Linked DNA regions of Macaca fascicularis. The main gene of each other region encodes a partner of the protein of the gene in region 3 in a complex. Links are inferred from orthologs where the notes say so. Each region holds a gene or a part of one and is shown on either strand. Other genes may lie near its edges.

Region 1 (7,382 bases), on a different chromosome or scaffold from region 3:
CCCTCCTCTGCCTTCAGTGAGAAGCCCTGCCCCCTCCACCATTGTGAGGGACCTCGATGCCCCTCTCCTTTGAAGACAGCGCTTTGAAGAGCGCTGTCTTCCTCCTACTCTGTAAGGAGGACCATCCCCTGCTCCGCTTCTGTCCGGGATCTTGCCTGGGAAGCTCTTTTCTTGGAGGGATGTTGCTCCCTCCATCTATGTGAGGGGCCCTTCCCTCCCTACCTCTGCGGAGCTCCTACCCCACTTCGCTCACTCTTTGAAGGATCCTGCCCCTCCCTTCCCTTCCTCATACCTGGGGACAGCGACCCAGTCACCAGCTGGTAGAGAGATCGCGCTGCCTGCCCCAGCGGGCTCCGGCACCTGCGAGGGCATCGGTTCATGGTTTGGCGGAGAGCTCTGCGTCCAAGCTCCGCCCCCAGGGCCCGGGGCGGTCCGGTCTCCGCCCTCACCCGAGTGGGCCCTGCGTGGGCGGCGCGGGAGGGCCGGCCCGGCAGGCATAGGATTGAAACCCTGGAGACTTCCCATGTGCTCCTGGCCGCCTGAGAGGAGCTCACCCTGGCCCCATCATGTGAAGCATCCGCCCCCAAAGTTCCTGGACTAGGGGGGCAGGGAGGGGTGGCGCGGACTCAACCTTCTCAGAGAGCATTTTTCTGGGTTCTGGCGGGGAGGCCAGGCAAGTACATGTGGGTTTTGAGAAAAGAGCTGGATGGGGAATGAACCGTATCTTTTATTGCCTCCTTTCAGCCCCCCTTTCTCCGCCTGTCGCACTCCTCCCCGCACCCTGCACCCTGCCCCCACCATTTTGGCATAAAGAGCCGAAGGAGTAAGAGGACAGAGTTGTCATGGCAACTCCCCACACTTCCACACTTTCTGGACCAATGGAAGACAAGACAGGAGGAAGGAGAGGAGGCCAGTGTATTGAGGTGGCAAAGAAGAGGCGGCAGAGTTGTGTCCCACTGTTTTCTGTCTCCCGGCTCCAAATTCCTTGCTCTCACAACTGTTTCTATTTGCGTTTGTCTCGGTGCGGCAGGTTTACAGACTTTACCACCACACGCTGGCTACAGCCGAATGCTTCGAGAAGAGCCCCACCCCCACCCCCACCCCCCCACTTCGGTCCCACTGAGCCCCTTTCCCGGACTCTGGACTCATCCCTATCAGGTTACACTCCAAGTAAACCCTTCCAGGACCCTCTAACGCCTTCAAATTCCTGGGAAAGCCTACGGGAGAGATATAGTCCCGCTCTTTCGACTGGGATCCTGCATATTTGTTTGAAAAGCATACTTTTAAGTGGTGGGAATGACCTCCTAACTCTGGGCAAATCTTACCAACTTGACGGCGACCACCCCATCGCGAAGCAGCTCCGTGCGCATGGCTCCTCGCAGCCACACGGGGGCACCCCCGCCCCGGGAACAATACTCAGGGCCGGAGGGACTCCAAGGAGAGATCCCAGTTCGGGGACCGAGCTCAGGACTGGCCAGTCAGGCTCCAACCCTCTCCGCATCTTCTCTTGGCCTTTCTCTCTTCCACTCAGACAGGGCCGCCGCTAAACGTAGCCTTTCCCCTCGGAACCGCACTGCCCAGCGGCCCCACTGGGCTGGGAAGACCCGAGGGATTAGACAGGGGTCCGGGTGGGGCTCGGACTGTGTTTTGTTTTGTTTTCCTAAAGAGTCTCCCAGCTCCGTTTTGAGCTTTGGGTTGGGAGTGGGGAAGCAAAACGGTCGAAGGTACCCAGGATGCCCTGAGGTGTAACTTTCCAGCTGCCTCCCTGCAAGCCTGATGGGCCAGGATGACGGGAGCTGGAGATTACCCTAAATCTGATCCCAGGAATCCCACCTGCAGGCAAGGGAAGGCGAGGCCTGGCGCGCGCTTCAGCACCGCGGACAACGACTCCCCTTCGTGCTTCAGCTTAGGCATCTCGCAGCACTCAGAGCTTGGCGCCGCTGCCCGCCCAGAGTCTTCGTTAACACTGGCGTCCCAACCTGATTTGTCTCCCACTATAAAATAAGCCGCCCTTCGAGATGAGAGCTCCTGGTAGTACTATGTCTACTTTCCAAGTCCTGTGCGGAGCTATCTACAGGTAGGCTGCTGTAGACCCGTACCACGATTCTTGACGCTTGTCAACATTTGACCTTTCCATTTCCCTTGGGAGGCAGGCAGGCAGCCAGGAAGTAACATTCTCTTTTACAGATGAGAAAGGTGAGGCCAAGAAAACAAAAGTCACATAGTTGGTACACTTCTATTCCTGACTGACCTGAGGCAGGGCATCTCCAAATACAAACGCTTCCGCCACCCAGTCTCATTCAAATAGCTAAGTGCGGAAGGGATGGTTCCATTAAGCAGGAGAACCCCTTAAAGCTGGAAGCAAACACTGACTTAATGTGATGGTATTGAAGGCCCCTAGGCCCTTACTACTCTCAAGAATTCTAAGATGGAGGTGGAAACAGAATTCATGGAAGTGCTGGACAGCGGGCCCTTTGGATTCCATCCAGCTCTGAGGGGCATCTGGCATGCTCTCTCATCTGGGGCCAGCCTGAGTGGCTCCCCTGATCCTGACTAGGGCCTTCCCAGGAACAGTGATGGGGGGTGGGGGTAGGCACATGTTCAAGGCACCTCATCCTAGTCCCCTCCCCCTTCCCAGGTCTCAATCTCACTCCCCTCAGGAAGGACAAGGATCATGGCTTCCCTCCACCTCCCCAGCTTTGTTTTGGCCTCAGGGAGACAGCCTCCCTCCTCCCACTCTGCTGGCTTTCTAGAGCAGGCTGCACAATGAGAGACACAAACACACACATGGAAATGTACGAAGGGTGACACAGTCACCTACACAAACACATGGCTCTTCCTACCAAACCCAGGAACATGCACATGCACAGATGTACTGGTCGCACATACCTCCCCATGTGGGAAAGAGAGGATGCCCAGGCAGCCAAGTGGTTTGGGGGGACATACAGGACATCACATGGAACTTCCCAAGCCTAGAGCTTCTAGCTCTGGCTCTGGAGGAGAAGCAAGAGGATGTGTTTTCCTGGGGTTTGAGTGAAGTTCTGAAAGGTTTGTTGGGGGTTGAAGGATTCAGTTGTAAGAATAATCTGAGTACATGATTTGGTGTGGGAAGAGAGGGCTGACCCAGCACTAACTAAAGCCTTCCTACAGGGGCTAGGTGCTAGAGCCATAAGGTCTCTTGGAAACCAGGCTGGGCAGCTGAACACTAGAGTCCCTCCTTGGGTCCACCTGGGCTATTTGCGGAAAACTTGGTGAAGCAGTGGGGTGTACTAAAGACCCCTATCTGTACCAGGAAGCTGGAGAGGCAGCAAGGATGAGACACGTCATGGACACTCACAGAGCCCTGCTGCAGACATCACCACATGAAAGTACACAACTAGCACCAAACACTAATCTCACAATCACAAAACACAACACAACCTACTTTAACAAATGCTTGCCCAGAGGGCTTATGGTCATGAAGTCTACAAAGAGACAAGCCACCCTAAAGTGGAGCCCTGACACACTCTGGTAGTTACACACCACTTCATACAGAATTACACACTCAAAACACATCATTGCACATATAACAGAGACACATGGTCAAAACAACTTCATCAGTACAGCCAGGGTCCTATGCAACCTCAAACATCTGACAAGACCATACAGTTGCACTGCCACATAAAATCACACTCACCCTAGCTGTCACCAAGCCCAGGGCACATGGCAACCAGCTGTGGGAGGCGCGCGCGCGCGCGCGCGCACACACACACACACACACACACACACACACACACACACACAGAATGACAGGCGCTCACGCACGTAACACCTCCCACTCCAGATACCCTCCCAGCCCTGTGTCACATACGCCCACACCTGCTGCCTCTCCACACCTGCCTCTTCTGTTCCTCCCCAACCCCTGCGGGACCCAAAGCTTTGAACCCCAGTGTCCTGCCGCCCAGACCTGCCAGAAGAGTGCCTGGGAATGGGGCAGAGTGTGGGTGCGGGCCAGGTCGGGGTCGGAGAGGCGGAAGGGTGTGGAGGAAGCCACCCTCCCTCCCGCGACCCCCACGTCACTGACTCACCCGTGAGCTGGTCGTAGGATCCGTCCAGGTCTCGGGAATCGGACAAACTCTCCTTGCGGCCCTGGCCCCGCATGGCCCCCGGCGCCCCGCTCCCGCCCGGTCCGTGGGAGGGGGCGCCGGGTGGCCGGGATAGGGCGCTCACACGGCGCCCCCTGGCGGCCTAGTGCACTGTCGGGGCTGGGGGAGTTCGGGTTGAGGCTGTCTGAGAAAGGGCCCGGGGTCTGAGGTCTACCCGGGGGTCCTGGAGCAGGAGAGGGAACACTAGGCAGCAGGTGAGCGCAGAGCCGGAGGCAGAGCGGAGCTGAGCGCGGAGCCGAGCCGAGCCGCCTCTCTCCTCCCGCCCCCTCCCCGCGGCTGTCACCGCCGCCTCCCCCCTTTGGCGCTGCCGGGATTGGCTCCCCCTACCCCCGCCCCCACCCTTGCAGCCCGGGGGAGGCACCCGGTGAAAGGGTGAACTGCAAAGTGCGGGGAAGGAGACTAGCTCCCCAGCAATCTGCCCCTAAACCAAAAGTCACGGGGCTTGTTGGGGGGAGGGTGGAGAAGAGCGCGGGACAGAAGAGCCACACTGAGAGGAAACCCCGCCCCTAATTCTCAGGCACCCCTTCTCCCTTCCCCCTTCGTCAACACAGTTCTGGCTGAGGCAGAGCCTGGGGTATCATCTCTGAGTCCCCGCTCCGTTTGCCTCCATGTCAGCCTCTATTTTCTCTGTTGTTCCTCCTCCCATGTATGCGTCTCTTGTGGTCCCAGACGGTCCCCACCGTGCTTAAAGCAGGATAGGGATGCAAAGGAAGAGTCAACCCAGCCTCTAATATTAGCAGGCTCATCGTGAGCCAATGGACTACTATTTCGTCTTCTCTCAAGTTCCAGAAGGACCCCAACTCTCACCCACTCCACAACCCCGTCTCTGGAACCTATTCACTCTCAGGGTGCCTCCTTCACTGATCTAATGACCCCCAATAGACCGACTAGGAAGATAAGAAAACTAGTGAACCATGTCAGTTTCTCAGACATCCTTGCTCTTTTGTTCCTCCCCTGCAGCAACTTTTCTGCCCCTTCTCTTTTGTCACCTGTCCTGTCCTAGATTCCTTGTTTTCCAGCAGATTTGGGGAGCGACTGACAGGTTTGGGGATCCAAGTCAAGATACACAGTAGGAAAGAAATGCCCTTGTTATGAAACCCCTTCTTTAAGATTAGCTCCTTTTCCAAAGGCAGGGCTAGCACAGAAGCTGGGCTCCCTCATCTCCCAGGAATGGATCCTGAATGTTTGAGCTCCACAGGTCTGACCTTCCTCAGGATGCTTCTGGGCTCCGCACCCAAAAGCCCCCCAACCCCTTGCTATGAGGATGAGCGGCCCTTGTCTGGTGGGTCTGAAGGAGTGACCTGTTAAGACCAAAAACTTTAAAGTGACTCAAGCACACTTAATTTCTTCAATTAGCTTTAATTTCTAACCACTTGATTTAATCAATCCAGCAGGAATTGTGGTGGGAGTTCCAGCCTAAGAGGCGGAGAAGTGGCTGAAGGTAAGATTGTCTTTAGGAGCAGTGCCCTGCGATTGGATCTCCCTTGGCTGTGGAGGAGCCTCCACAGACCTGGCATAGAAGCTGGGCATAGAAAGTGCTTGGGCAGCTCCTGTTGAGGTTGTTTTCCAGGAGAGAACGGACACTCTCATTTGGAGTTCTTGGAATAGGTATATGTGAATAAACTGGTAAAGAGAAGGGCCTTTACAATGGAGGGCAAGGAGCCCTCTGCTTAGTGCCCCATGCCCTTGACTCATCCTTATTCACTTGGAGGAAAGGCTGGCAGGAATCCAGAAGTGGCCAAATGGGTTGGCTTGCCTCCTCAATACCACTATGTTTGGAGATAAGGGAACTAACTCCCTTATCCCTCCTTCTACCCAGAGGGCAAGGGAGGTTACAGCTCTGTGAACCCAACTGGCCTCTACTAGGGCCAGGAGACTCAGAGGAAGGAGGAGAGTTCACAAGGGTGGGTAGGGGTCCCCTAGCCAGATGGGAGCAACACCTAGGAGATTACCTTACCTCTATGTTTGAGGAATGAGTCTGGGCAACAGAGATTAAGAAAAAAAAAAAAAAAGGCAACACTAAAGACAGTCCCACACAAATCAATTTTTAATAATTTCAACTTGCCACCAGCTCCAGATCCAGCTGCTTTGGGGGTTTATCACCAGGGAAAATACTAAATGCCCCAGGCTGAGCTATCCATTCAGTGATCAGATGACCCAGCCTGTGATCTCTTAAGAACCTACATCTACACATGGCAGCCTGTTAGTGGATTCTCTGGAACTAGCGCATAGCTGCTTAATGTTAGAGCCAGAACTCTGGTTGCCAGGGAGGGCAAGTAACCCAAAGAGATTTTAGGTTAAATGGATAGCAGCCCAGGTGGTCCCAGACATGCTCTCACTGCTGAATTCCTCCACTTATTCCTAGAATATACCGGTGCTGTTTGCTCCCGCCATCCTGAGGGCTTTAGAAAGTGCTTTAAAAAGGGAGGATCTCGAAGCAGCAGCTATTTCAGAGGCAGCTGTGGGGAAAGCCTATAGAGATTCCATGGAAGCTATCCAAGGGAGGAAGCACAAGCCAACTCCCCAAAAGTCAGATTTGCCTGTGGCCCCACCCAGAATCTGAGTGGACAGAATAGAGGCCTTATGCATGATGCTCACCTGGCCTGTTTCAGATGGAGGGCACCCTACCCCCAGGAAGTTCTCTCCCTCCCAGGCACTAAACCACGACAGGAACAGATTCCTCCCCAGAGGAAATTCTCAGGCAGGTTGGATGTAAACAACAGCAGGGTAAGGGGGTGGAACACGTGGAGGGGAGCTTAGCAGAGGCAGGAGAGGCTGCCAGAGGAGGGGGGGCTAGGGAGGCGGGGGAGCTGCTGGAAAGGGAACCAGCAAAGTAGGCACCTTGAGGGCTCCAGAAAACCTGTCAATGTTTATTTCATACATACCCTAAAGACAGAGTAAATGAGATTAGAAACGAAAAGTTAAGGTTGTGACCCTATTGTGCTGATGGATCAAATGGGTCAGAAGGAGGGGAAAGATAATGGTACTCCTAGTGCCAACACTAAAATTCAAAAGGCGGTGGCCAGACAGCAGAGCACTGGGCAGATTCTCATCTCCAGTTTCCCAGAGGAGTCAACTCTGAATTCAGAAAATAGGAAAACTGGCCGGGCACGGTGGCCATGTCACGGTGGCTGACAGGAACAAACTCTAGAGGATGTGAGAAGAACATCTAGGCTCCCAGCACTTTGGGAGGCTGAGGCGGGTGGATCATGAACTCAGGATATTGAGACCATCCTG
Region 2 (6,835 bases), on a different chromosome or scaffold from region 3:
TTTATGGGGCACATGACAAGTTTGATACAGGCATACAATGTGTAATAACCACATCAGGAAAAATGGGTATCCATCCCTTCAAGCATTTATCCTTTGTGTTACAAACCAATTACATTCTTTTAGTTAAAATGTTCAGTTAAATTATTGACTACAGTCACCTTGTTGTGCTATCAAATACCAGGCCTTATTCATTCATTACATATTTTTTGTACCCATTGACTATCCCAACTTCCCCCATAGCCCCCCCTACTATCCTTCCCAGCCTGTGGTTACCATCCTTTTACCCTCTATCTTCATATTGTTTTGATTTTTAGATCCCACAAATAAGAGAGAACATGGGATGTTTGTCTTTCTGTGCCTGGTTTACTTCACTTAACATAATCACCTCCAGTTCCATCCATGTTGTAGATGATTAAATCTCATTCTATTTTACAGCTGAATAGTACTCCATTGTGTATAAGTACCACATTTTCTTTATCCGTTCATCTGTTGATGGACACTTAGGTTGCTTCCAAATCTTGGCTATTATAAACAGATGTACAACAAACATGGGAGTGCAGATATCTCTTTGATATACTGATTTCCTTTATTTGGGGTATATACCCAGCAGTGGGATTGTTGGATCATATGGTAGCTCTACTTTAAGTTTTTTTGACTCTCTATTTTGATCCATTGATCTATATGTGTATCCTTATGCCGATTCCCCGCCGTCTTGACTACTGCACCTTTTCATGAAGTCTTGAAGTAAGGTAGGTTTAGTCCTTTAACTTTGTTCTTTTTTTGGTTGTTTTGGTTATTTTAAATTTTTTGCATTCCCAAATCAACTGCTACAAAATACCTGCTGGGATTTTGATTGAGATCGCACTAAATCTATAAATCAAATTTGGAGAATCCACATCTTAACTATATTGGGCCTTCCAACCCATGAGCATGATATATCTCTGTGTTTATTTAGTTAGTTATTTCAGCAATATTTTATAGTTTTCAGTGTATGAGTCTTGCACCTATTTTGTTGAATTTTTCTCAAAGTATTTTGTGCTTTTTGATGCTATTTTTTCTTAATTTAATTTTGTGGTTGCTTGTTGGATGTAGAATTATAAATGATTTTTGTAAATAGAACGCATGTCTTCACTTTGTTAAATTCACTTATTATTTTTCGCAATTTATTTCTAGACTCTTAAGGTTTTCTATTAATACAATTGTATCATGTACAAATAAAGACAGTGTTAATTCTTCCTTTCCGGTCTATATCCCTTTGATTGCTTTAAATATAGTGAATTATATTGATTGATTTTTGAATGTTAAACTAACCTTGCATTCCTAGAATAAAACTCACATAGTTGTAGTGTATCATCCTTTTATATATTGCTGGATTCAATTTGCTAATAGTTGGTGAAAGCTTTTTGTGTCTGTGCTCATGAGGGGGACTGTTTTGTAGTTGTTTCCTCTCATAAGACCTTTTTTTCTTTGGTTTGGGTATCAGGGTACTATTGGACTTATAAAACAAGTTGCAAAATGTTCCATCCTCCTCTATTTTCCAAAATTTTTTGTAGGATTGGTATTAGAATTCACCAGTCCACCATCTGAGCCTATAATTTTATTTGGGAATGGTTTTTAACTGTGAATTTTTTATAATATAAAAATTTATATATAAAAAATTATAATATAATTTCTTTAAATGATACAGAGCTAGTCATATTTTCTGATTCTCTTTAAGTCTGTTTTTGCCTTTTGTGTCTTTCAAAAAACATGTTCATCTAACAGCTTCCCAGGGGAATATGGATGGGCCCCTTACCCTAGCCCTCCACCATCTGACTCTGTTGACCTGTCAGCCTCATCCTGCACCAATCTTCGGCTTCATAACTTCATCTGCAACCGGCTGCAACCTTTCTGTTTTTGAAACACATGAAGCTTTATCTTGCCTCAAAGCCTCTCTAGTGGCTCTTCCTTCTGCCTGGAACACTTTTCCTGGCTTTTTGTATAACTGGTTCCAGTATGACAACACCTCCTTAGAGAGGACTTTGCTAACCTTCCCTGCCAAAATATCTTCTACCTGTTGATTCCTTTTTGGCCTGTTTATTGTCCATCTCTCTATACTGCTCCAGTGTGAGGCCTAGTCTGATTGGTCACCTCTTTACTTCCAGCACCTAGAACACCTAATAAGTCTTCAAATGTGTGTTAATTAAAAACATGACTAAATGAATGAGGAATGAAAGTTGGATAAACTCTCTGAGCTTACAGAGAGAACCTTGCAGCGTTGAGGTGAAGATAATTGCGCTGATATCTACACTCCAGGCAGTGCACCTGGCACACAGGAGCTCAGTAAGTGGAGTGTTACACGATGCCAAATTCCAGCTTCCACTGAGAGACCATGGTACAGTGGATACTGAGGGTATTTCACTGGCTACAGACGTCTTCTGAGGTTCTAAAAGTGCGAAGCAGTGAAGATTCAGAAATTATTTGTGATAATTTCTTTAAAGACAGCTGTACCTTCCATTACCCCCTTGGAGGTTGTATTAGTAGGCAAAATAGGTTAAGGCCAATATGACCCAGTTATAGGCTCCTCTTAAAACCCTTTCTTTTCTATTCTAGGTGCTACCTACAATTCCACCATTTCAACTTTTAGCTTTAACTTGTGGCTCCCAACCTTCCCAAATGCACGTTCTCTAGGGAAGAGTAACTCTTTACACTGAAACAAGTCAGTTTTACCCACTGTGTAATGTCTACTGAATCTAGGTGACCCAGGGAGAATGAATCGGTTTAATCCTTTCTGGGCGCTTGGGAACAGGCAGGGTAGGGCAATGAGGGAGGCCTTCTTTATTTTGCCAGGGACCAGCTCTGTTAGCCCCAAAGCAGAGCCTGCCTCATTCAGACAGCACTATCCTCAAGCCTGGGACTGTTTTCTGTTGGGTTAGTTACCTTCACTGGAACCCTCTCACACCCCTGGCTCCGGCTCACTTACCTCTTTGTTAATATATCCATCCTTATTGATGTCATACAAATTAAATGTCCACCTTAGTTTCTCATGGACAGTTCCTCTCAGTAAAATCGACAGAGCGGTTACAAAGTCCTGAGAAGGGGAAAAGGCAGGAGTGACATCAGGCAGGGTGAAGCTGTGTCTTTGGGTCAGATTGTGATACTCTCACAGAGTGGTGCCTCCCATGTCCTCTTGTCTGCCTGGAGGACGTGGCTATGCTCAGTGAAGAGCTCCTGCCTTCGGGTCCCTACCCTGCCCCATTTTTTTTGCCAGGTGCCCCCTTGAGGAAGAATGGAGCTCTGAGAGACACAGATCAATGCAGCCAACCCTGTTATTGCCTTATCCATGGCTGCAGTGGTCAGTCTATCATCCCAGTGGCCATATGGCCTAGTGGCTGAGGACGCAGACTGTAGGAACAGTTTGTATTGAGGGTCATTCTGCCTGCATTCAAATCCATCCTTTATTATTTGTGTGCTTTTTGACCTTGGGAAAACTACTCTCTCTCTCTTTGCCTTACTCTCCTCTTCTGTAAAAGGGTAATAAATAATAAAATGCTACCCTATAGGGTTATCGTGGGGATTAGAGTAAATGAGTTAGTACATCCAAAGCCCTAAGTACAGGGGCTGCCACTGGGAAGCAGTGTGCCCGGGAGCTCACACACTGTTGTTATTAGTCCCCCGAGTCCCTGAGTTCCTGCAGGCCAGGCAAAGTTGCTACTGCTTCTCCCCATCTTTAGGAAATGCTTACGAATGGATAAATGTGTCTTTGGTCTGACTGAGAGCTTTTGATGGTCCAGCCCTTCCCCCAATGCCTTGAGATTTAGAGGGGGAGGTGATGCAGAACCAGAGGACCCCTAGAGTGGACCCCAGATGAGCATACCTCGAACTTCACGGAGCCTGTCTGAGTGGTGTCGAAGGCATTGAAGAGGTAATGGGCATACGTGCTGGCATCTACAAGGCAGAAAAGGAGGGCAGGTGATGGGGGCAGGAATTCCACACAGGGAGAACCTTCCAAACAAGGCAGGGCTTCGACAAGAAAGAGAGGAGAGCGATGCTAGGGTGATGGAAAGAAGAAAATTATGGAGTGGGGCCCATTGACTCAACTCTTTGGGTTTGGGTGGGAAGTTAGATCTAGCAAAAGGTGAGATGAGCCCTTATCCCTCCCTCTAGCATCGTGAGAAAACCTTTCTCCTGCCTATCTATGCACGGAATCGTCAGTGTATGAATGACACAGTGACTGCATGACAATGTTCTTCTGAGCGGCCATGCAATGCCTGGGATGAGCACGCACTCCAGAGTAGAGAAATCTGAACTTGGATGCCGCTGTACTACATAAGCTGTGTGACTGTGGGCATCAAACATGACCTCTCTGAGTTTCCCTTTCCTACCTCTGTACAATGGGATGGAGCAAGACCTATCTCTTGAAATTTGCGAAAAAGTATTTTAAACTAGAGCTATGCCTGGCATACAGTAAGAACTCAATAAACAGTGGCTTAGTGGAACTCAGAAAACTGCAATTCTGGGGCCTGCATGGGACAAAACTGCCTCCTGCACCTGATCTGGGTAGGGGCCCCGCACACCAAGGAAGGCGTCTGTCTGCTGCCAAAAAGGCCCTTGAGGAACAGGGCCCAAGAAGTGTTTGGAATGCTTGGATCTGCATTTTGTCAGGATCCGGGGAAGGTGTCTTGCAGGAGACAGCTCTTGGAGACAGGATGCAAGGTGGCATGTGACACATGGAGGCCACAGGAGGAGCCACTGATGTGGTCCCAGGCCCATGGGGACAGAGCTGGTTCCCGAGTCAGGCAGGGCGACAGAGCAGCTGCTGTGGGCCTGGCACACTTGTAACCTGGCTTAATAAGCACAACTTTATGTTTCCTGTCTCTTTTTCATTTAGTTTATTTTTATAGTCTTGGGTATTTACTGGAGTTCTTTTACAAAATTCCAGCTTGTCTCAGCTATTTTAAGGAAAAGAATCAAAAGTGCCCTGCACAATGGTGGCACCAGAATGGCAAAACTTGTTTCAGACCCTTATGGAATCTAATCCTGGTCTGCTACTCACTCGCTGTGCAACCTTGAGTACATTGCTTATCTTCCCCGAAACTCAGTTACCCCATCTGGGATTATAATACCTGCTTTCTAGAGCTGTTCTGAGACTTTGTGATGTTGCATTATCAGCCCTTCTTCCCCTTCCAGGGTGGGTTCGTTTTCAGAGTTCTTTCCTGCTAAAGCTTTGGAGACTCCCACCTCTCACGACGAGGGAGGTGTCCTGCTCTGAGTTTGCCCCTTCCTCGAGAAGGAAGCAGATAGCAAGGAAGAGTGGACTTGGAGGAGGGGAAGGCTATTCACCAGAGAGGGTGCTGGGCAAGATAGATTTCAAGGTCAGACTCACCTCCGTGAGGGAAAAACTGAGCATAGATCTGCTTGAATGTGTCTTCGTTAACCACACCACTGGGGCACTCCTGTGGGAAGGGGAGAGAGTCAGCAGGAGGTGTCTGAGGGCCAGCACTAGGAGAAGACTGGGCCCAGCCTTGGTGTCTGGGGTTCCTCATGATCCCCAGGGGCAGGGACCTGTGCATTTCCACTTCTCCGAAGTAACTCCATCTCAGGACTGGAGCTGCTTTGCCAAATGATGAGACATTGTCAGAGAATGGGCACAGTGAGGTGGAGAGATTTGGGGCCTTAAGAGCAGAAAAACCTGGGTTTAAATCCTGGCTTAGCCAATAAATACTAAGCTTTGTGACTTTGGCCATGCCAGTCTCTGATTCTCAATATCCTTACCTGTAAAATGGGGCTAACAATACTTTCCCCAAGGGTATCTTATGAACCTATGTTAGGTGGTACTGAGTCCATGGTAGATGCCAAGCAGTGTAGATTTCTTCTCTTTTCTGGATGCTGTTCCCTCTGAGCCCAGTGCCTGCCTGGGAAACTTTCCCACAGGATCCTGCTCCAACTCGGCTGCCCACTGCTAATGCTGCCATCAGAAGGAAAGAAGCCCTGATGGTAGGAAACCAGGCACTTGGTATGTGCAATCAAGGCTAGTGTGGAAGGAAGAGGCATCCCAGCACCTGTCAGATGACTCCCAGGAGGGGCTAGAATCCCTGTGGGTCAGCACTTTGGAGAACAATGAGGCTGCGGTCAGTTTGGAATTGACCCAGCTCAGTTCTACCTATAGACTGCACCTGGAGGGAGGGTGACCAGGTGCACATTGCTCTAGCCCACCCCACTCCACACCACCCCAGGATTTGGGAATAAGATTGTGCTCTGAGAGTTAAACTTAAAAAAAAAATAGATTAATATCCAGGATTGCATCTGAGAGCTCTCAAGCTGACCTGAGAATGCAGGAACATATTAATGTATTTAAAGTAACAGCTAAACAAGGCACTCCCATCCTCTGACTCCACTTTTGATTGTAACCTGGCTTCCACGTGGCTTCTAAGGAGAGCGGGTCCCAGCGAAGGGAGAGGAGTGTCTGGTCCCACTGTCAGTTCCATTTCCTGTGGTAAATTAATACACTGACATTCGGCTTACACATCAGTCTCGGTGAGCCTGGTTAGCATGAGTCAGCAGGCCTAAATCCCATTATTGTGGGGGCACCACCAAGTTGGAAGGTATGACTATGTTAAGGGTTAAGGCTTGACCCTGGGCTGGGGTGAATTCCCTGAGGATGTGCCACCCTGTGAAGTTTCTGGGCAGTTGGCCGTTTACTGTCTCCTGACTTTGCTCCATCCTCGCCTGGAGCCTTCCTTTCCAACCAGGTGATCTCCCTCTCACGTCCCCTTTATAGAGCTGGCCTTCCTTGTGTAGCCTCACATATGGGAAACTGCCTTATGAGCTCCCTTGGCATTGGGAAGAGCTTAGC
Region 3 (7,629 bases):
TGGATATTGGCTCCAACTATGATTTCCCAGAAAGTTTACACCTTACACTTCATCCTCTAAGTATAGAACTACAGCCTAAACAATAAAGTTAGGCAATGGCTTTTATTGAATATTTTGAATTATTAAATAACTGTTGAGTCACAAAGTTGGCACCAAAATGGCAGTGCTTATAAGAATCTATTTCTTCAGGGTACAATACATAATAAATATATTTTGATGAGAAATTAAAAACATTTTCCTATGAAATTCTGTTATAAAGCATATGATTTGTCAAGTGTCCATATATGTTCTCATTTTGATTACATCGACGTCTCCACATCTTAAAAGTATGACTGCTCTATTCAACCAGGATCATTAATTAGCTTAATTTCCTGAAAATTAAAATGTTCAACTTCAGTGAAGCTAAGTCTTTAAAGTAACTTCCACTTAGCTTCCAAGTTCTAAGAAAGTGTGTGTATTCAATGCTTCTAATCCACTTACTTACCTATGGAACATGTGAACTAAATCCACTGCATAGATTTTACTCTGCCATTATAATTCAATTTCTTAAATATTTTCAAAAATAGGTGCTTTTAAGTATTTTATTTACATAATAAAAAATTGTCACTAATGTTTAATGTTGCCTCATTTTTTTTTCCTAAAAACAAAAATAAGCTTCAAAATAAAATAAAAATTGGAAAGTCATTCCCAGAAACAAGTTTTAAAACAATGCTAACTTCTCAAGTCTATTACAGAACTATTAGCTACACGAAATTACAATTCTCATCAACATTCTTTTTATACCTATATTCAATCATATAGACACTATATAGCATTAAAATGACTCTCTGATACCTCAAGACACACAGCCCTATATAAGAAATGTTTAAAGTGTATTTCATTTTAATAGTTTTCCCTTCCTATTAAAACCAAATCTTCTTTTTTATTCAGTTGTGCTTCTAATTTGATGTCATGATAGTGATTTGTACTACCCATTTGTGCCTAATAAGGATATCCTGCTAGAAAATGACAAGACAACAAAAACAAACCTCTTTGATAAAGAATAAGCACCTACACTGTGAAGGCATTCTGCATCATCCTTATCCTTATAAACTGTCACAAATTTACAAACAAGAATAAAAGGCAATACAAGAAGTAGAACATGGATTTTCACTAATTCATTTTTTTAAATGTACCAGTAGGTCTTTAAAAAAAATACGAGACTAAATAAAAATCATAAATTATTGTATTTTTCTTTACCACAATTTATTGTTTAACCTAGCCTAAAATTCTTCATATATAAAATATTCCATTAGTTGGCCATATAACATGAGAAATTCTGTACAACACAATATGTCTAATAAAATTAAGTCGACTTTAACCACAATGTCATTTAAAGAAGCCAATTAAATTATCCAGAAACACAAAGCTTAAAGAGTAGCCTTGGGAATAACTTTTTTTCTTACAGCCATTACCAAATCCTCACTGAACTGATTACCTATGCAAGAATAGTAGCATAAAGCTGAAGAAAAGGCACTAACATCACTCCCTAGCTTATCTAAGAACTCATAAAAGTAAAAGGATCTAACCATTTTATTTTATTAGATTCTCTAATACTTAAAATGTTGCCACTTTTCTGCAGTTTGACTAACATTCTTAATCATTTGCCTCCTTTCCTTTTTTCTACTACCTAAAAAAACTTAATTCTAGCCCTAAAAGTCTATTAAAAACGTGAATTCAGAAATGTGTCCCTTTGGTTACAGAACTTCATTATACCCCCCAAAAAGAATGCACAAAAAAATTCTAAAAGGAAATTAGGACCCCAAATTTTATAATACAGCCAGCCTTGGTGACCATCCATCTTACCAGATACTGCTCTATCTTCTATGTGTATTTAATGGGTGTGGGCCCATTGCCTGATGGGATCTGTAGATTCTAAAAAAAAAAATGTGTGGATGACAGTCTTTTGCTTCTTTTTTTGAAACTATGAACCTAGAGTTTGAAATATGTTGCAAATTTAATTCCACTGCATATTGTAGAGTTGATCAGTTTCAGCTCTGATATTCTAAAACACTGAATAACCTATCAACCATAATTAAAGTGCATACATATGAATATGTGCATATATATTATAAAATACTTTGATAATTACATCTACAATCTATGTTTTACGATGTAAAATAAGAATTATGGTTCTTAGAGGAAAAATGCACACCATAAGTATCTATTCATATGAAAATAATAGTTCAAGTATACCTGGAAACTTTTCATTTAAATGCATTGAACCATTTTCTAGAAATTTCAATATACATTGTATATATTTGTGTCTTTATTAGTGCATAGATTTTGTTTTTCATTGTCATATTTTTATATATTAATATAAATATTGTTACTATTTCATATATTCAGGAATTCTAAAATTTCTTTGTATCTTTACCACTTTCAGGCATCAATGCTCAACATTTGCCAGCAATGCCTTAACACTTCAACCTGTGTATTATACCCATTTCACAGATCAAAAGAGTTTTGCCAAACCATTTAGATAATGCTTTCCTAAACTCAGGAAAGAAACCAAATGATTTCCCCGGAATTATCATGTAATCTTAATGGGTCCACAATCGCCTCACCCATACCCAACCTCCATCCCATTTCTCATTATGGCACCTACCCTAGTGTTGTCATGGTGACGATGGTATACCAGAATGCTGCAGGGATGCTGGTAAACTTGCTGGCCGAAGACCCCTTCTCTGCATAGAACATAACTGTAGCGAAGATGATGATAGCCATGGTGAGCGAGAAAAGCAAGAAGCCCAATTCTGAGGCACAACTCTTCAGTGTGTACCCCAGGATGCGCAGGCCTTGAGAGTGGCGGGAAAACTTAAAGATCCTGAACACCCGGAAGACTCGGAGCGTGACAAAGGCTCCGCTCACGTCCTCATTGTCTGTCATCACCAGCCCAATGTAATAAGGCAGGATGGCCACCACGTCGATGATACTCATGACACTACGCACAAAACGGTAACGACTAGGCGCTGCAGCCAGGCGAAGCAAATACTCAACTGTGAAGATCATGACGCAGGCCGTGTCCAAGCAGAAGAAGGCCACCGCATACCGCTCTCCACAGGGCAGTTCTTTAATGTGACCTGGGCTTGATCCGCAGGGCACTGTTTCCACCACATTCGCGATGACAGAGACGGCAATGAAAAACCCCGTGACATAGTAGAACACCAGGGCCATCGTGCTGGTGTGGGGGTTCTCGAAGGCCCGCCAGACCCTCTGCCTTGCAGTCATGGTGGGCAAGGCGCTCTCTCCAGTGGTGTCGGTATCCGCGTCGTCCTGTAGGCGCTCGGCGTTCTCCCGCCTGCGATCCTTGTACTCCTCGTAACAGCAGTCGCCGATGATTTCCGGGATGAGGCCAAAGAAGGCCAGTTCTTCATCGTAAGCAGAGATGCACTCGTGGCGAGGATAGTGGAGCTTCCCAGTGCGATAGAAATTCAGGATGTGGCGGAAGATGTCTGGGTCACGGTCAAAGAAATACTGCTGAGTCTCTGGGTGGTAGAAAAAGTCCCTCTCAGAACTGCCCAGTAGAGTGTCTGGGTAACGTTCCAGGGTGTCCTGCCACGTCTGGAAGCGGGTTCCACTCACATTCAGCACAATGAGAGCATCTTGGGTCCTTTTCCTCTCCTGCCTCGGGGGAGCCGGCATAGGCCCCGAGGCCACAGGCATCCACCCGATGGCCGCTGCCCTTGCAAAAGGCAGCCACGCTGCTACCCCCGCCGCCATGGCTCCTTGAAGTGGAAGGAAGAAGGGTGACGAGGCGTCTACAATGGGTCAACCGAAGCAGCCACAACTCACCCACTTCCTCCAGTCAAGCAAAGTACTAGTGAGAAACGTGGTCCAGAGGTGTCACTCTTATTCCGAGATAGGGCTTCTGGTAAAGTCACAGTTCTCAGAAGGGCAAGTTTCCCTCCAAGACAGGTGTTTGGAGTAATGACAACAAAATACAACGTCTTAACAATCGCCCCCAACAGAACCTAGCCAAACCGCTTCCAGCAGGTGGGCCAGGCCACCCTCTGGCACAAATAAGCACACAGGTGCAGTCGTTTCTTCAAACAGGTGTCTTTGATTTCTCCCCTGGCACAGTCTGGATAATATGGGGTCAGTATGTGGAGTGTAGGATAGAGAAGACGAACGAGAGTCACCCAATAGAATTATTTCGACGAATTAGGGAATCCTTCCACCTACCCTTCTCACTCTTTCAAACCTTCCTTTCCAAGTAGCCCTTCCCGCCAAAGGAGTCTCAACAAGGCGACCTGTTGTTGTAGCTCAGGAGATACGGTCACAGCCGCTGCCCCACGTCTCTCTTTGGGGGTCCAGCTGCTGCTGCCTCTACTCCTCGGGCTGTATTTGCAGAGATGGAGGTGATGTGCAGTGGGTACGGTGGGGGGCGTTAATACAGATCCTCCTCCCCCACGTCTACAAACACCCTCTGTGTCTGCCAAAAGCGTTCGCCCAGTCGCCCCTTCACTCTCTTTTCAAGTTCAGCTCAGGTGCAGTGTGACAGTTACAGAGCCCAGGAGCTGGCAGCCGCCGCCGCCGTGGCGGCAGCAGCATCTGCTTCCGCGCAGAACGCGCCGCGCCCGCAGTACATACCTGGCCAAGCGCGCGCCGGGGCTGAGTTGCATAGAGACTTTCTCCTCGCCGTGCACCCGGAAAGGGAAGAGGAGAGAAAGCAGCTCGCGAGCAGCCGAATCCGATGCGCCGAGGGAGCATAAATAAAGCTCAAGCGAGCTCTTCTCCCCCTTCCCCCATCCCTCCGTTCCTCCCTCCTCCTTTTCACCTTCCAAAAGCCAGGCGCAGGCGAGCAGAGCAGCAGCAACAAGTTCAAAAGGTGCGGGGGAGGCGAGAACGGAGGGGACTCGCTCCTGCCAACTTACTGCGGGGCCACTGTCGCGGGGACCTGGCCAGCGCGGTGCGGGGCGGCGGGGCGGCGGGGCTGCGGGGCGGCCGGGCGGGCGGCGGCGGCGGAGCGGCGGGGCCGGGGCCGGGGCCGGCACGGGCTCTGGTCCGAGCGCGGAGGCAGAAGGCGCTCGGCAGCGCGGGGGCGCGGGAGGGCTGCTAGCTGCTTCCCCGCCAGTGGGTGGTCCTGCATCTCCCCGGGCTCCCCGCGCTGCTCTGCTAGTGCAATCAATAAATAAGGAGAAAATAAATAAATAACCGCGCGCACGCCCCGCCACGCAGGTTAGGAAAGGCGTCTCCTGCCTTTCCCTCGGCTTGACCTTTCTCCGCCCCCGCCCCCTCGGACTCCTCTCGCTCCACCCCAGCCACCCACCAGCCCCGGCGCAAAATGTCACCGAGGGAGAGCATCCAGGTGGATCTGCCGGGGAGGAAAGCGAGCCTCGGATGAACAAAGGGAAGCTTCACGCGCTGGGCTGCGGTGGTTTGGTGGAGGAGAGGAGAAAGGGGACCTGTGCCTTGCTTCTGCCTCCCGAGTCCCGGTTCAAGGCGAGCGTGGGAAAATGGGGGGAAAGAGAGCGAGAGAAGCTGGGAAGGAGAGTGAGCGGAGCGGAATGCGCAGGAATTGGTTGTCTTCTGGGGGCGACTGGAAGGCAAGACCTGCAAAGCCCCGACGCGGAATTTTTAAGTGCATTTCCTCTTTCTCTTTTTATTTATTTTCCAAACCAGATTGTTAAACGTTGCAGGGATTAATATGCCATCTGTCCAACTTGCCAAAAAATCAGAGAGTCTCCTCGGTGGAGGTCTTGACACAACTCCTTTTCCCGTCCTTTAGAATAACAGAGGGATGTGGAGCCCTTTTCTAAATGTCATCGTCAAGGGGCGTGCGTCTCTGAAAGTTTGCGTCCCCTTCATCCTCTCTGCGCATCACTGCGCATATTTAAAATAGTTAAAGTAGTTAAAGATGTTCGCATGAGGGGTAACTGAGGTGGAGAGACACAGGAAAATTGTCGCGACCAACCGTTTTGTTTTTCGCGTACCCCGCCCCCGAGTCATTACGAATCATCCTTAAAACCAAACATAACATATACAGCCACTAGATGGCGTGGATGGCGAGAAGTTAAATCTGCTCCTAAGGGTTGGATGCTTTAGGAAGGTGAAGTATCAAAATTAACTGATCCAACAGAGACTCACATCACATAAACAGCCTCAAACCCCTTCGCTGCCACCCACCTTTTTATTGTTTATATGAGATTTAATACTTAGGCTTGAGTCTGCATTTGGATAGTTGTGGGATGAGAAGTGGAGAGTTTCCTTTTGAAATTCCTTTGAAAATTAAATCTAGATTACTGAATCATCATCATCATAGTAATTAAGATCTTTGGCAATAGTGAGGCTTCATCTATATTGATTAAGAATAGTAGCCTAATTTCTACCTAAAAATTGTTTTTCATGGCTTGGTTTGACTGCCCTTGGTTTGTAAAATAAGTGGACTGTGTGTTGTACTGTACAGAAATTGACTTTTAAGCCCTAGAGATCATAGGCATGAGTGTCAACCTTGAAAATTTGAAATGGGATATGTCAAAGAAAATACATAAACTAAAAAATGAGTATAGAAAATAACCAGAGAATTTAAAATATCCTTATCATGTACAGGACTTTCTGTAGCTATACAAAGGTAATTTTTTGTTTGTTTACAAAATAGAGATTTAAGGAATACTGTGTTTAGTAATGAAGTCAGAGCTAATGCACCGTGTAAGTTTGAGGACATGGAACTGAAGACACCTGCTCTTTATCTATTTGTTTAAGTGAAAGATGCTTGTTAACCAATCTATGTAGCCTGCATACCTGAAAACAAACACACAAGCATGTTACCTGGAAAATGGAAATGAGGAGCTTACTACCAATTAATATAAGAAAACCAACTCCTCCTTAGTCCAGACAGTAAGGTGGCACTATGACAGGTGCTGGGTATGGAATCCAGAGGGTGGAGAGCCATGAATATTTAATCAATGCCAATAATGGCATGCTTTCCTGTAAAGATGAGGCGAGGAACCTAAATAGAGCCTTTAAAACTGTGTAGGAAACTGAATACTTACAAATGGAAAAGTAGGAGTTTAACTTCACAAAAGCCCCAAAGAAGCAAGAACATAATATGTACAGTTTTTAAGAAGGTATTGGGATCTGCCCTCCCCCATCTTCAACAAGCTTCTTGATATAGTGGAAAGAATGTGGGCTGAGAACTTAAACACATCTAAATTCAAAATCTTGCTTAAGAAATTACTTACTGGCTTTGTTTCATTTGGCAAATTACTTACCTTCTATGATTAGAAATTGTAGATAATGAAATTTAACTTTTCAGGCCTGTTGTGAAGATGAAACAGGATCATACTTCTGAACACCAGTGAAATAGCACATGGAGTGAACTCAATATTGGTTCTTTCTTATTGTAATGCATAATGCTAATGCAATTCATTTTATCCAGCCCGTATTTGGAATTCCCTTAGATACTTTTGCATAGTTATGTGTTGCTTAATGACAGGGATATGTTCTGAGAAATTTGTCTTTAGGAGATTTCATCACTGTCTGAATATCATAGAGTGTACTTACACAAACTTAGGTGGTATAGCCTACTACACACCTATGCTATATGGTACAGCCTCTTGCTCTTAGACTACAAACCTGTACATCATG

What was found.
Region 1: the proteins of KCND2 (region 3) and KCNIP2 are in contact, whole or in part, in a cryo-EM structure (PDB 7UKH), measured with the Homo sapiens proteins. The link is inferred for Macaca fascicularis from reciprocal best matches to the Homo sapiens genes KCND2 and KCNIP2. Residues at the interface, in NP_036413.1 of Homo sapiens: Val5, Ala7, Trp8, Leu9, Pro10, Phe11, Ala12, Arg13, Ala14, Ala15, Ile17, Gly18, Trp19, Met20, Pro21, Val22, Ala23, Ser24, Gly25, Pro26, Met27, Pro28, Ala29, Pro30, Trp55, Asp57, Arg61, Arg100; in NP_775283.1 of Homo sapiens: Arg112, Gly113, Phe114, Asn116, Glu117, Cys118, Val123, Phe128, Ile131, Tyr132, Gln134, Phe135, Phe136, Tyr144, Leu148, Phe152, Phe165, Leu169, Ile172, Leu173, Arg180, Trp183, Ala184, Leu187, Tyr188, Met201, Met205, Ile208, Met211, His228.
Region 2: the proteins of KCND2 (region 3) and KCNIP1 are in contact, whole or in part, in a cryo-EM structure (PDB 7E8E), measured with the Homo sapiens proteins. The link is inferred for Macaca fascicularis from reciprocal best matches to the Homo sapiens genes KCND2 and KCNIP1. Residues at the interface, in NP_036413.1 of Homo sapiens: Ala2, Val5, Ala7, Trp8, Pro10, Phe11, Ala12, Arg13, Ala14, Ala15, Ala16, Ile17, Gly18, Trp19, Met20, Pro21, Val22, Ala23, Ser24, Gly25, Met27, Ala29, Pro30, Gln33, Arg35, Lys36, Arg37, Thr38, Gln39, Asp40; in NP_001030009.1 of Homo sapiens: Thr60, Arg62, Glu63, Val66, Leu67, Arg69, Gly70, Phe71, Asn73, Glu74, Phe85, Ile88, Tyr89, Gln91, Phe92, Tyr101, Leu105, Phe109, Phe122, Leu126, Leu129, Leu130, Lys137, Thr141, Leu144, Tyr145, Val162, Ile165, His185, Phe189.

The regions. Positions count from the first base shown.
Region 1 is NC_088383.1:110,826,359-110,833,740, forward strand, and holds the start of KCNIP2 (A-type potassium channel modulatory protein KCNIP2), read right to left. Parts: upstream 4,365-7,382; 5' UTR 4,141-4,364; coding exon 4,068-4,140; intron 3,141-4,067; exon of another isoform or gene 2,954-3,140; coding exon of another isoform or gene 2,890-2,953; intron 412-2,889; exon of another isoform or gene 381-411; coding exon of another isoform or gene 293-380; intron 1-292. UniProt on the Homo sapiens protein: Regulatory subunit of Kv4/D (Shal)-type voltage-gated rapidly inactivating A-type potassium channels. Modulates channel density, inactivation kinetics and rate of recovery from inactivation in a calcium-dependent and isoform-specific manner.
Region 2 is NC_088380.1:177,523,939-177,530,773, reverse strand, and holds part of KCNIP1 (A-type potassium channel modulatory protein KCNIP1), read right to left. Parts: intron 5,436-6,835; coding exon 5,366-5,435; intron 3,928-5,365; coding exon 3,857-3,927; intron 3,071-3,856; coding exon 2,963-3,070; intron 1-2,962. UniProt on the Homo sapiens protein: Regulatory subunit of Kv4/D (Shal)-type voltage-gated rapidly inactivating A-type potassium channels. Regulates channel density, inactivation kinetics and rate of recovery from inactivation in a calcium-dependent and isoform-specific manner.
Region 3 is NC_088377.1:161,880,517-161,888,145, reverse strand, and holds the start of KCND2 (A-type voltage-gated potassium channel KCND2), read right to left. Parts: upstream 4,410-7,629; 5' UTR 3,763-4,409; coding exon 2,648-3,762; intron 1-2,647. UniProt on the Homo sapiens protein: Voltage-gated potassium channel that mediates transmembrane potassium transport in excitable membranes, primarily in the brain. Mediates the major part of the dendritic A-type current I(SA) in brain neurons.